2 linked regions of the Pelodiscus sinensis genome follow. The protein of the gene in region 1 purifies or fractionates together with the protein of each later gene. This does not show direct contact. Links are inferred from orthologs where the notes say so. Each region holds a gene or a part of one and is shown on either strand. Other genes may lie near its edges.

What was found. Proteins that work in one complex are often made in the same cells at the same time.
Region 2: the proteins of GAN (region 1) and NUDCD3 purify together in Homo sapiens (co-immunoprecipitation; 3 studies listed by BioGRID and IntAct, counting the BioPlex papers as one, with this or other methods). This does not show direct contact. The link is inferred for Pelodiscus sinensis from reciprocal best matches to the Homo sapiens genes GAN and NUDCD3.

The regions. Positions count from the first base shown.
Region 1 is NC_134722.1:11,332,140-11,339,486, reverse strand, and holds the start of GAN (gigaxonin), read left to right. Parts: upstream 1-4,346; 5' UTR 4,347-4,468; coding exon 4,469-4,635; intron 4,636-7,347. UniProt on the Homo sapiens protein: Probable cytoskeletal component that directly or indirectly plays an important role in neurofilament architecture.
Region 2 is NC_134738.1:4,746,234-4,753,198, forward strand, and holds the start of NUDCD3 (nudC domain-containing protein 3), read right to left. Parts: upstream 3,006-6,965; 5' UTR 2,899-3,005; coding exon 2,701-2,898; intron 1-2,700.

The DNA.
Region 1 (7,347 bases):
GAGCTCATTGCAGCTGGCGGGCTGACGCGTTTCGGCATGGAGCCCCGTCAGCCGGACCGGAGCTAAATATCTCCGTGTCCTTAGGGCCCTGGGCTGGGGCCCGTGAGTGAGGGCGGGCCCGGGCCCCCCTCTCCCTCCCCCTCCCAAGAGGGGGAGAAACGTTTGAGCTAGGGGCCGGCCGTGCGGCGACATAAGGCACGGCCGACCGCCCGAATTCACCCCCGTGAAAGCGGGAAGACTAAACACCGAGTGGGAACCAAGCCCACGCGGGGTGTGGGCAGAGGACCCCGAAACGGGGCCGGCAGAGACGCCCCTGTACAGCCATATACAACAGTTGGTCATGGAACTTTTTTGGAAGAACACAGAAGCGCTGGGTGCATATCTTTCAAACTCCACATTCTATTACTGATAGTATATGTGTCCTATGGGATGCTTTAACTAGAGATGTGATATTGCTCTGGGGCAAGTTAAGCCAATGTAAGGCCATGTCTATACACAAAACTTGTACCAGGTTAACTGTACTGGTATGGTTGAAGTGGTATAACTGCCCCTATTGGGGAGGCAGTTTAACCAGTATAAAAGTGCTTGTAACTGGTATAATGTATTCCCGTAAGGGGAATAAGCTATACTGCTATAAAGATGTGAAAGGATTAGATTTTTAGCAGTTAAGTGTTGGTAAGTTGCAGATCCGTAGGATCTGTGCTATGCTATTGCTTTTAAACAGTCTGGTGGAGGAACCTTTCAGTGCACACCCAGGGGTCTCACACTCTCTTCCTTATGCTGCCGAGACTGAGTATCTGTTTCATGCTGTGAGCTCTGCCAAAAAGCCCAGTGGAAACAGACTTCTGGCCAGGGACTTCTATACTCTTCAGGGACCAATGCACCTCAGCAAGTGGCATCAGGCAAAAAGTCCTTGGGTTAGCAATGAGAAGCACAGGCTGGAGCGGTAGCAGCCTCTTCCCGTGGGAGGCAGGGGTTGAGGCAGAAGTGACAGAAAACTGGGGGAGTTATGGCCCCCCTCGTTACTAGTCCCCACCCACCCTGTTGCCCTGCCTCCTACCCCCTGCCCAGGTCGAAACCAAAGCCTGGCAGTACTGGGTGGTGGCTGCTCACAGCCAGTAAGAGCTGCTCAGGCAGGTGCAGCTAGCTCCTGGATCAGCAGAGCCCTTGGGGAGCAGCAACCCTAGGAACAGAGCCCAAGAAGGAGCAGGTCAGTCCAGCCCAAGGCCTTCCATCTACCCTTGACAGCATAATCAGGTGGATGGGGATATGCACTGGGGGCTTCCTGGCCAGGCTTACTTCTTCACTGTTGCTGGAGCTGGGCACCAGAACAGCAGCCATGCTGACTCTCTCCCCTCTGTTGGAAAGCTGGAGAGCAACAGCTGCTATGTGGCAGTGACAGGGGGAGCAAGGCAAATGTTGGGGTAGCTATAGCTCAAGCAACCTCCTCCCTCCAGAACCGCTCTTGAGCACAAGTCAATACATAGTTCATCCTGGCCAACTTCCACCCCGCCAAGCGGCTATGCAATCCATTTCTCTCTCTCTCTCTCTTGCTCTTTGTCATTCCCGGGGAGAGCTGCTGTTATCTCAGCCATCCACTGCCTTTCAGCCCATTGGCCTTCTGCAGGACCACAATGGGTTCACATGCTCCATTGTTAGGTGTTAATTGTTTAGTCCTTGGGGTCCTCCATCTTCCCCTCAGGACGTGCCTGATAGATGACACTAGCAGAGTGCACATGGAAGTCTTTACGCACCCCGCTGCTCTTTTGCCATCCCAAAACCTGTTGTTTTGAAACTGGAATGGGATCCTGCCATCACTTCCTCCCACTTACCTTCCAGGGACTGAGGAGGGCCAAGGCAGTGAGGACGCTCTGTTGCGCAAGAAAGCTCTGATGGCCATTTTAGCCATAGGGGTTTCTTGCGCAAGAAACCCCTGTTGCCCATTCACTCTGCCTTCTTGCACAAGAGGGCTTATCCCTCGTGGAGAGAGGAGTAACTCTTGTGCAAGAAGCCCTCTTTTCCGACGCTTTCCTGTAAATTTACTTGCGCAAGAACATGCATGCAGTGTATGTGATCTGCAAGTTTTTGTGCAAGAACTGCCGTTGTTGTGCAAAAAGCCTGCAGTATAGATGTAGCCAAGGTCTTTTGCAGACCCAAAAACCTTTTCCTGTGAGCCTTAGATGTCAATTCAAACTTAAGCACTACAGCCTTTTTGAACTGTTCAGAGTCCTCAGTACCAGCTCCATCATAAGAACATAAGGCTACATCTATACTGCTCCCTTGTGAAAAAGTCTATGCAAATGAAGCGCAGATTAGCATATTGCCACACTTCATTTCCATAATTAATTAGGGGCTGTTTTTGTGCAAGAGGCTTTTGTGCAAAATGAAGCTGTATAGATGGCTCCTTTTTGTGGAAAAACCCCCTCTTGCACAAAAGCCGTTCTTCCTCATGTTTTCAGCCATCTACTCAACTCCTTTTTGCATAACAGCCTCTTGAGCAAAACCATCCCCTAATTAATTATGCAAATGAAGCACGGCAAGATGCTAATCTGTGCTTCATTTGCATAGGCTTTTGTGCAAGAAGGAAGCAGTATAGACATAGCCTAAGAATGGCCATACTGGGTCAGACCAAAAGTCCATCCAGCCCAGTATCCTGTCCGCTAACAGTGGCTAATGCCAGGTCTGTATGCCTCTATCACCTTGGGACCAAGTAAGGGGGTGACAACAGTGATGCCGATCCATGGACTCAACCTAGTTCAAACTGCAGCCTCCTCACTGTGTTTGAAATAGTCATCTATATCCCACTCTTCCAACACAAACTTTAAATTGGGGCAACAATTTGGTGCGATGGTCTCTTCCATCAGTCAACATCGCACCTTTGGTTAAACAAGTACCAATTTCAATTTAGACCAAGCCCATATGAGTAATGCTTTGCATCCAGTCCTGTCCCATGGCTAATGTCAAAAAAGTAGAAGGGATGATGTTTCTCCCCTAACTCTTCCAAAATAAACATGTCTCCAATTTGGGTGCAGGGTGCCTTGGCCTGGACAAACATCCGAAAAGTCACATGACTAACAACCAGGTACATGAATTCAGACCTGCTCACAGCAGAGGCTTGTAAGGCAGGTCAGTCCGTAGCGAATCGAACAGCGGGTGCATTTTGCATTGACTATTCAATTAGTCGACAGGGCACTTCTGCCTTTGAAGAGTAGCAAACGCCCTAGCGCTGTTGCTTCCCTTCAGAGGCAAAAGCACCAGGTGGAGCCAGGGGTCAACCGGAGACTCCTGCTGACCCCAGGCTCCATGCAGTGCTGCCACTTTGGAACTGCATGGGGACACCCCAGCTGGTCCTGGGCTGCCTGTGGTGTGTCAAAGCAGCAGCACCATGCGGACCCCGGGGGTCTGACCCCAGGCTCCAAGCAGGGCTGCGGCTTTGAAGTTTCCCCTCCTTTTCCCTCCCCCCTTGTTGCCCCTCTCTGATACAGGCAGCTAGGGTGGGGGAAGCGCCTAGTCGACTGACTAAGCAGGGGTGTCCAAACTTTTTTCAAAGAGGGCCAGATTTGATTAAGTGAACATGCGTGAGGGCCGACCATTTTGCCTGACATTCTTTGAACCATTAAAATTAAATGCAAATTAACTATTTTATGCAAAATTTATTGCAAACGGCATACTTTTCATTTCGTCACATGGATGACAAATCTAAACAGGTGTTAAATCACTCTGCCTTTCATATCTGAAGGCCAGATGAAAAAAAAAATCCAAGAAGCTGAAATATATGTCAGGAACATTGTAAAGGACATTACATATTATTGGTAATAAAGGTTGTCTGTCAACTTTTAAGTTTAAAAAATATGAACAGGAACATAACACCAAGTATCCGTGTTGTGTCCAAATATATTTATAACTGATTTAGACCAACGGACATGAACTGAGATTTTACAATGTGTTCATCTCAATACATATGGATTCGTTGGGGGCCATAAAAGATAGATATTGCCAAATTACCTGGGGGGCCGTATTAAACCGGAACACGGGCCGCAATTGGCCCGCGGGCCGGACTTTGGACATGCCTGGACTATGGGATCAGCATTTGCTTATGGGATAGTCCCCCAGTCCTTTCCCTCCCTGCTCCCAGCCTGGGGACTTGCTTCCCTTCCCGTGTGGGAGCAGAGGCAGGGCTCCTGCCAGAGGACAGTGGGAATTAGGGGGCACGGCCACACTAGCTCCAGCTCCACAGGCCCTGGGCGCAGACCAGAGGCTGAGGGGCGGCCCGGCTCGCTCGCCACAGGGCGGGGCCAGCTCGGGGGAGCCAGGCCCGGAGGCGGGCAGCGGGCTCCGCCTCCCCGCCAGGCGGGGCCGGGCCGCGCGAGGAGATGATGTCAGCCGCGAGCCGCCGGGCCGGGAGCGGCGGTGCCGGTGCGGCGAGAGCGGGAGTTCGGACGCCGCGGTGGCTCCGGGCGGCGGCGGCATGTCGGGCCCCAGCGCGGTGAACGACCCCCAGCACGCGGCCCGCCTGCTGCGGGCCCTCAGCTCCTTCCGCGAGGAGAGCCGCTTCTGCGACGCGCACCTGGTGCTGGAGGGCGAGGAGATCCCGGTGCAGAAGAACATCCTGGCGGCCGCCAGCCCCTACATCAGGTGCGCGGGGCCGGGGCTCGCCTCAGGCGGGAGAGGGGCGGTCCCGGGGCTAACCCCTCGCAGGCCCCGCTCCCTCCTCCGCGGCCGTTCAGCCTGCGGGGCCTGCCAGTCCTCTCCCTCCGCATTGATCCAGGGCGCCTGACTGGGTCGGGTTTGTGTCCCGAGGTTGGTTACTCGAGTGCCTGGCCCATCGCCGGGCAAAGGCTGGGGGGAGAGGGTTATTTTGGGGCCGTTTCGGGGGGGGGGTGGAGGGACTTTGTGCACGGAGTTTGTTGACATTATCCAAGCAGAAATAAGTAGGTTGGCTGCTGCGCCCATGTGGTCATAGACCTCAAAACCAAAGCAGCCCGGCTGCGTCTAGACTGGCATGATTTTCCGCTAGTGCTTTGAAGGGAAAAGTTTTCCGTTCAAAGCATTGGTGGAAAAGAGCGTCTAGATTGGCACGGACGCTTTTCCGCAAAAGCATTTTTTGCGGAAAAGCGTCCGTGCCGATCTAGACGCGCTTTTGCGCAAAAAAGCCCCGATGGCCATTTTTGCCATCAGGGCTTTTTTGCACAAAACAAATCTGAGCTGGCTACACTGGCCCTTTTGCCCAAACGGGAGCAGTATAGTATTTCCACAAGAAGCACTGATTTCAGACAGTAGGAAGTCAGTGTTCTTGCGGAAATTCAAGCGGCCAGCGTGGACAGCTGGCAAGTTTTTCTGCAAAAGCAGCTGCTTTTGTGGAAAAACTTGCCAGTCTAGACACAGCCCTCGTGTTTTTGAGGACCTCTCTTTACCCCTTGATGTTTTGGAGATCTGTTGTAAAAGGCTGAGATGGAAGGTTCACAATCCGCTGTATAGATATGCTGTCAGTGAAATTGAAGGCGTTTAATACTTTCCTGAGTGTGTTTTTCTTACCTTTCCAAAGAGAGAGCTGCTGCAGTCTAGTAATTAAAACACACAAAAATACAGTTCGTTTAAAAAAAAAAAAAAGGTTTACTTGACCAACTCTGCAATTCAAGCTGATGAGAATTATGTAGCGAAGTGTTTGTAGAATGGTCTAAAATGCCTTTGGAGGAACAGTTATATTCTGTCAACTCATGTCCTTGTCATGAGGTTATTTGTTAAACAGAAAATGTCACAAACTACTTAACACTCTGAATACATTTCCCAAACCTGAAGTAGATCTGTGTGTGAACTGGAGATCTTGCCTCGCCTACCAACAGAAATTGGTCCACTGAACGATAGTACCTCACTCGTTTTGTGTCTTCCAAACTACTTAAGCAATATTAAGGGCATGATTTAAACCAGTGGTTTTCACATGATAGGGCGTGACCCAGTACTGGATCTCTGGGCCTTGTTGCTGCGGGGTGATTAGTGGGGCTGCCAAGGCAGGTTAGATAGATGATGCAGACGTACTCGGCACAGACCGCTTTATCTGCTTAGGCAGCAGCATCTGCCATGATGGAGGCACCAAGAACAACATCCAGAGTAGACTAAGTAAGGCCAGAAACGTCCTCAGGAGTATGAACAATGTATAGAGAGCTACATAGTACAGTGTCCACATCAAGCTTAAGCTATACCAGAACTGTCATATCAACACTACTATATGGCTCAGAGTGCGACCATGCCAAGCTCTGCTCCTTTTACACCACCAGCCTTTGTAAGATACTTCGCATCTTTTGGCCAAAAACAATTTCCAACCACAACCTGCTCCTGCGATGCCACCAGGAGAACATGACCACTATCATTATGAGAAGATGCTGGAGATGGGTAGGACATGTGATCAGAAGGGAGGCAGACGCCATTGTAAAGATAGCACTTCACTGGACGCCTGAAGATGACGAAAACATGGGAGGCCCAAGACAACGTGGTGGCGTACTGTTGAGGCAGACATGAAGAGAATGAATTACAACTGGGGCACACTGGAGAAAATGGCCAACGACAGAAAAAAATGGAGAACCTTCATTGCTGCCCTACACGCCAGCGGGCAAATTAGACATTAACTAACTAACTAAGGCAGGTTTCCTGTCTGTCTTGACACTGCAGACTGTGTTGTGCCCCAGAAAGGACCAGCATCAGGCCTGCCTCCTGGAGGGATGGGGAGGCAGAAGAGCATATACTGGGCACTATGCTCTGCTTCTACCTTGAACACTGATTCTGCACTCCCATTGGCTAGAACCTGCTGCTGGCTGTTTCTGGGGTGCATGGCCTGAGGTGTCAGGACAGGCAGGAAGCCTGCCTATTGCTTTAGCACCCTTGATGCATCGCTGACCGGGAGTTGCTCAAGATAAGCCCCTCATGCCCCAGCCCTGACCCACCCTCAAAGCTGAAGCTCTCCTGCTCAGCACCACCTTGGACCCAACATTTTAGTCAAATTATGTTGGGTCACAGACATCAATTTTCTTCAGCTGGGTCAAGAGGAAAAACATTTGAAAACCACTGATTCAGACCAACAAGCCAAGAAAACTAAAGTTAATATTGAGGGGCACGGAGATTATGAAAGTAAAAGACACTGTTTCAGTATGGTTTGTTCTCAAAACTATGCACACGTGATAAGTAATTTCATCTTTATAAATGCTGGATGCATTATCTGTCAGATGCCCTCAGCAAAGTCAGTGCTCTAGAATTAGTTATGTGCCTTTTGTAAATTCATAAGACAGTTTGACTAGTCTAGAGCTTGCGAGCTAGTCATTGTCCTGCTTCATTGTTCGTTTAAAAGATTCCTTT
Region 2 (6,965 bases), on another chromosome or scaffold:
GCAACACTTCAAAGTTAAAAACAAAGAAAAAAGATAAATTCCAGGCTGCCTTTGTCCATCACAACGCAGGAATAAGGCACAAATCCATTTCTGCTCTTCTCTGCAAGTCGATTCTATGCTGCTTGCCTAAGGCCTAAGAGAGACTAGCTGATCTGTGGGGTTCATGCTCTGGGAAGGAGGCAGAGCAGAAGCAGGGATGAGAAAGAACCAGCAGATTCATGGCACTTTGAAAGAGCTGGGAGGGAGGGGAAGAGTAGGTTTTGTGGGGCTCCAGTGCGTGAGGTGTGGAAGGAGGGGGCAGAGTGAGGGTGAACAAGCCACAGGGGGAATAGGTTGCCCACCACTGGCAATCATTCCAAGACAAAGGAGGGCCGTTTATGTGGCCCACTCACTAGTCTTGCTTACCCCTCGCGGAACTAAACTGTAAAAACTAACCAGGACTTCCCATCTCCCATACACACATCACCCACTGGACCATTTTTGAGTTGTAAGCATTCCAAAGAAAGTCTTATCTCAATGTGTCCAGCAGCATGGGCCCGCAGAGCCAACAGGCTGAGGCCAACAGTGTGTGCTTCAACCCAGAACGAGAGGCTGAGAAGCTCTGAGTGAAAAGCAAAGCTTAGAAACAGAAACTTGGAGGAGAGGTCTTCAGCCCAACCCTCTTGGCCAAGCTAAGGTCACGCTGCAGTCTCTCAACCACCCCCTTCTTCTCTGTCGTTGTCACAGACTGCTCCTTTTGCCTTGGCTACTGCAATCACTTCCTGTCAGGCATTTTAGCACCAACCGTATTCCCTCCATGATGTTCAAACCATTGCTGTCAAAGTTCGCTCTCACACCCATTCCTCTCACGAAGTTGCCCACCATGTGTCATCCACTGACTCCCCACTGCATTGTGCTCCACAAAGTTCCCGTCCTCTTACATCATGCTGCCCTTTCCTGCATCTCTGCAGTGCTCCTTCATACACCCTCAGCTCATCTGCTCTTACCATCTGTCATGACCATGAGGTTTAGCCAGCAGCCTGGGGACTAAAGAGTTAACTATATCACTTACTTAACCAGGTAGCAGGCAGCCAACAGAAATGTAGGTAGAAATTTCAAACGGGGACAAAGGAATTTTTGGTTTTTCCCTCCTTTGTCCCAGAGCAGTTTCTCTCCAGCTACTAAGGGGGGGCAGACAAAATGTCTCTCTCCAAAAAAAGAATCTTCACTATCTATAAATCCGTTAGGTTTTATTGTTTTATGGTTTGGGAATAGGAATCTGATGTCTGTGCATTTAAAAATGGGTTTTCCTCTACTTTATAACTAAGTTTTGGCCCATGGTGGAATCCCCCGTGAGTATATTAATTGGTGACTTATCTAATGATTATGCTTATATCAGGAGTATTGTGGTGAAGATAAAAGCTCTCTTTCCTTTTTATTAACCTGGTATTGGTTAATTTTTATGTCCTGGTTTTACGATAGGGCTGAGATTTCCCAAGTGATCTCTCCTCTGGCTTTCTTATCATTACTTGAGTGGTGGAATCGGATTTTTATCCCCAAAATCTAGGTTTCTAAGATTTTTGGGGGAAGCTTTATACCAGAGCCTGGAAAGATAAGGTACTTTTTGGGTACTTTTGCAGACCTACTGCATTTATCATGCCAGAGTGGAGATTATGCCTTGGCACCCTTTATCTCTTCTTCACTGATATATATGCCAGGACACCTTTCTCCCCTCATTCCAATTCCTCCAGAAACCTCATCTTTGATGTGCAATCTCTGAGACATGACAGGAGAGTAAGGCAGCCAACAAGTAACAAAAGGAATTAAACAAGCAGCTGTGACCTGATCAACCTCACAATCTTACCCAAAGGGGAAGGAGCGTAAAGGAAAGAGGAGAGGGTGTTTATACTGCTCACTTTGTTATGCTACACCCATTCCTCAGAGCAAAGCCTGGGTCTTTACTTGGTTGTGGCATAGCAAACATTTCTAGGAGCTTGAAAAAATAAAAAAAAGACAGTAACTCCACCCTTAGCTAAGGAGTTACTGGCCACATGCAAGCCAATCGTGTAACACAGTTGGCCCCACTCAGACCCTGGTACAAGAATGCCATCATACATCAGTCGAACAACTGATGAGGGCCTGATCCAGCCCCCAAAGACCTCAGGGGACAGTGTCATGAACAGTAACAGCATGATCCTCCGTGAAGGAAGCCGACAAGGATCAATGCTGGCCCACTTCAATTCTGGTGTGAGGGAGTAATGAATGCAATGCTGTCCCCACCCTTTCAGGTCTCCCAGCTACTCCCGGGCTAACAATGCAGAACCAGTTTGGAGAAGCTGTCACGGGGAAGCTGGAGGTTCTGCCAGCCGGGATGGAGATGACTGAGCACTCGCAACAGGGTGCGGGGCTGGGATAAAGCATTTCGGCTGGACCTCGGTATCCAACCCATCGGTGAAACCGCTCGTTTTAACCCATGTCGCGTCGTCAGTAGGTTCCAGAGTTAACGAACTGGCTAAGCCGTTCGAGAGGGCACAGGGGCAGGCGCTCCAGTCGGAAGTGCCCCCTCGGCCTCTCCCCACCGTGCAGAGGGGCTGCTCCAGCCTGCAGGCCGCTGCAGCTCCCCCCGGCTAACCACTCTCAGCCGCGTGCGGAATAAGTTTTGCCCGGAGGGCCGCGCGGATGCGCACCACCCGCCTCCCCCCCACGCGCCGCGCGGGCTACCTGGAGGGCCATGGCCTGCGCCGCGCCGGGCGGGAAGCCCAGGCGGCCCCGCGGCGGCCGCAGCAGGCGGTAGAAGTCGGTCTTGCGGTAGAGGAAGCCGAAGAGGACCCGCAGGAAGCCCTGCACGTTGCCCACGTGCTGCAGGATGCCCAGCAGCGCCTGGTCGTACGTGTCGGTCATGGCCGCGGCCAGGTCCATGGCGGCCGGGGGAGGCTCCTCAGGCCGGGACTCTCCCGCTGCCAGGGCAACCTCCCGACAGGCACTTCCGGCCCGGGCCCGCAACGGCCCCGGCTACTTCCGCTCGTCCCGCGCGGCTCAACGCTCCGGCCGGAAACCGAGGCCGTAAAAGAGGGGCCGTTGCCATGGAGACGCTGCGGCGGGCCAGAAGGAGGAGGTAGGGAGCTAGAGCGTCGCAGCATCACGTGACGGATTCAGACGCCATTTTGTCATGTGATGCAGAATGGGGGCGGGGTTCCCGGGATTCCCTGCCCGAGAGGGGGCGGGGATTGAGGGGCTAGGGGCGGGGCGTAGTAAAGAGGGGGGCAGGGTATAGTAAGGGGGCAGGATTGGGGGCGGGGGCAGGGCATAGTAGGGTTGCCAGATGGTTTAACAAAAAATACCGAACCCCCCCCACCCCATCCCCCAAAAAACGGGAAAAAATTCCGTTGAGAAAAAAGAAAGGGGGAGACCAAAGTTGTTAAGCAAAAAAAAAAAAAAAGGCGCTGTGCCTTTAAATGGTCCCGCACGCCCCCGCCCCGCCAGACGCAGCAGGGGAAACGGTCCCCGCCGGCTTCCGTCCGAGGGAAACAGGAAATACTGGACATTTCACACGTCCGGTAGAACGGACAGTCCGGGCGGAAACAGGACACCGGGCAACCCTAGGACATAGTAAAGGGACCGGATTGGGGATGGGCATTGTAAGGGGGCTGGTTTGGTGCAGCTGGGGGAGGCCAATGGGCTTCCCTAGAGGTTGAGGACCAGACATCAGGTCCATCAGTCTCCACAGGGAGCTGGTCCCGTTTGTTCCACTAGCCCACCACAACCTCCTCTCTTCTAGGCTGCAACTGATCTGCCTCTAGTCCACCAGCTCCTCTTATATAGACCCTCCTGGCTCCTGATTGGCTGGTTCCTCCACAGCCACTCTAGCCTTCTGGGAGGACTTCTCTAGCCTTAGAGCTTGACCTGCCCAGTCATAGGGGCCATGTGGACCCCTCTTCCTCAAGCCCTTTAAAAGGTCTAAAGAGACGACAACCCAGGTGGCAGATACAGATGCCTCTCAGGGCCTTGTGTTCCCCACTGCCCTTACCTCAACTCTTTGAAGCTGGAGAACGTTGGAGTGCACCCTGGCATTGCAGGCTGGCTATCTTGCCATGGCCTTGTGATTTTCTGATGAGCCAACCCAGCTGGTTTTGAGTTTCTTGTCACAGGCAAGTTTAAAAATACTACAGGAAGAGGGAGCAAGGTCTCTTACCCTCTCCCTTCCTCGGCCTCCCACCTCTGATCCCCCCTCCCTTTCGGCACCCACCCCTGCATCTGCTGGGCTTCCTCATACCCTACTGGAGCCCATCACATTCCTCTGGCTCTTCGGCACTGTGCTCCCCTTGCCGCGTGAGAAACCCAGCCCCAAGAGCACTGCGCTGCTGTTGGTGCAGATGCTGTTCTGTGGCACCCTCTAGCCTCTGTCCAGGCGGAGGGAGGGGCACACGAGACACGGGCAGTGAACGCTGCCAGAAGCTGGAGCATGACTGTGCCTGGGAGCAAAAGGGTGTTACACACTGGGGCTTTTCACCCAACGGCATCGCTTGCAAGCCCCATGGGCTGCCAAGCGCTAAGGGAACTCACCTTTCTGACGGTAAATCTGACCTGGCCAGCTGGGTCCACCTGTGTTTCATAGACTCAAACCTGAGAAGCTAAACAAAACCTAGTGGGTGGCTTTGGGTGGGGCTGGACTAAAGCATGTGAACGGGAGCCTGTGAGACCTTGCTCCTGCCAGGCACAGCAACTGCTGTGAACTGGAGCTCTGCAAACCAGAGCATCTGACCAGGCCTGGCCTTCGCTGGTTCCTTTGTGAGCGGCCTGGAGAGGAGCCTGGCAGCGCATTGATACCATTCGTGGATGGTTTTGTGTGGGGAGGTGTGACGTAGTGGGGGATAACCTGCTAACTCTCTGGCTGCTGTCTGTAGCACCACCGAGCAGACAAGTAATGAGTCACTATGCAAAGAGGGTATCCCAACTGGTTTGGCCAGCTGACCCCCATGGAGAGGAACAAAGGAAGGTGGAATGCTGCCCTGGCTGGGGGGCAGGGCTGGAGGAGAGTGAGTGAGTTCCTGGCTGGAAAGCAGGGGAGAAGGAACTGGGGAGAGGGCTGGGATTCCCCTATCTCAAGGGGGGCACTGAGGCCTCTTAGCCCCCAGTTCCTGTAACCAGATTACATCTGTGCTGTATCCTGGAGGAGCAATAAACCACCCTCAATTCTACTGGCTGGTGGAGTCTGTTTGTGCCATTTCGGGGTGCAGGAGACAGGGGACCCCAACGCGCCGTCACAGGAGGTGACAACCGACAGCAAAGCCCAAGCTTCAAGGCTTCTGTGGATTGGGGTTCCATGTCCCCACACCTGTGAGCCTGTGTCTCCAAACTGGCCTCGGGGCACCCCCGTTGCACTGGAACGCATCTTGTCCCAGCATGGGACACTGTCGCATGTCCGACGTGCGCTGTGGTTTCTGACGGCGTTAGCTTGCGAGCTGTCAGGCTTGGGCCATTGAGAGAACTTGGCTGACCAGCCTTACCCTGACAGCATGTCTAGCAGAGGCATTCTGAGCTCAGCACGGGTAAAAGAAGTTTATACTGAAAACCTGTGAGCCAGCATTTCTTAAAACGAGCAGAGACAGTGTTAGCTTTATGCGTCAGCTGAGCCGAGCCTCAGGCCATAGGTGCCCCAGGAGAAAGGTCTGGTTTTAACGTTTGTTAACGTGTAGGAGTCCTAGGCTACATCTAGACTGCCACTTTTTTCGGAAAAAGTTTCGCACATTGCGCTCCACATTTGCGCACCTTTTTCCAGTTGGTTTTTCGGAAGAGGCTTTTCCGAAATGTCGCCCCTCTACACAGGGCCAAATGTCGGAAAAACCTCCTCTTTCGGAAGAGCCCTTCTTCCTCATAACATGAGGAATACAGGGCTTCCGAAAGAGCGCATCTGCTCTTCCGCAAAAAATGTCGGAAGAGCAGACGCATTCCCTGGCTCCCTTTGGTATCCCAGAAAAACTCCGTAGTCTAGACATAGCCCTAGAGCAGGTGTTTAGTGACGTGTTCCCTGGTCAATGTAAGGTTTAACAGGACCAGCTACCGTTCCAATAGAAGGTGCCTGTCTACACTAGTTCTAGGACGAGTTAGCCAGTCGATCTTAAACAATGCCAGGCAAGCCCAGTGGGGTGAAACGTGTGATTCTTCTGGGAGAAATGCAACTGGGAGATGCCCACCCCCCTGGCATGGAGGAAGGGGGCTCCGGAACCAAGGGATGCATTCCAATGGTCCCCAACCTTTTGGGGCTGCCGGGCGCCCAGGGGCAGGGCTGGTCACATGCCGGGCAGCCGGGGGCGGGGCCGCGCACGGGCCTTGAGGCGAGGCCATCCATACGCTGCATGCCTGGAGCTGGCGCCACCCATGCGCCACTCTCCCGGGGCTGGCGCCGCAACTGTGCTGCACGCCCAGGGGTGGGGCCTCCCATACGCTGCACGCCCGGGGCCAGAACAGCCCATGTCCCGCGCGCCTGGGGGCTGGGCCATCACCATCCATGTGCTGCATGCCCGGAGCTGGCGCCTGTGCCACACGCCCAGGAGCCGGCAGCCCCATGCGCCGCGTGCCCGGTGGTGGGGCCGCCCATGTGCTGCACGCCCGGGGCCGACGCCGCCAATGGCTAGGGGCCAGCCCCGATCATTCAGTGGGAGCACAGAAATGGCCCGGCGGGCGCCATGGCGCTGGCAGGCACCACACTGGGGACCACTGCATTAGGAAGCTGCCACTGGGAACAGGAACAGCTGAGAAATGTGTAAAGCTGATGACCGTCTGCTTGCAATGCAACCTAGCAACAGCTGCAGGGAAGGCCAGGTGGTTTTGGGGCTGCGCTGGGGAAGGCCTGCACTCCTGAGCCTCAAGATGAGGGTGAGGGTCCCACACATTCTGTTATCTCGTAGCAGGAATTTGACAGAAAACACACACACACACACACACACCCCAGAACACACACACACCCCAGAACACACACACACACA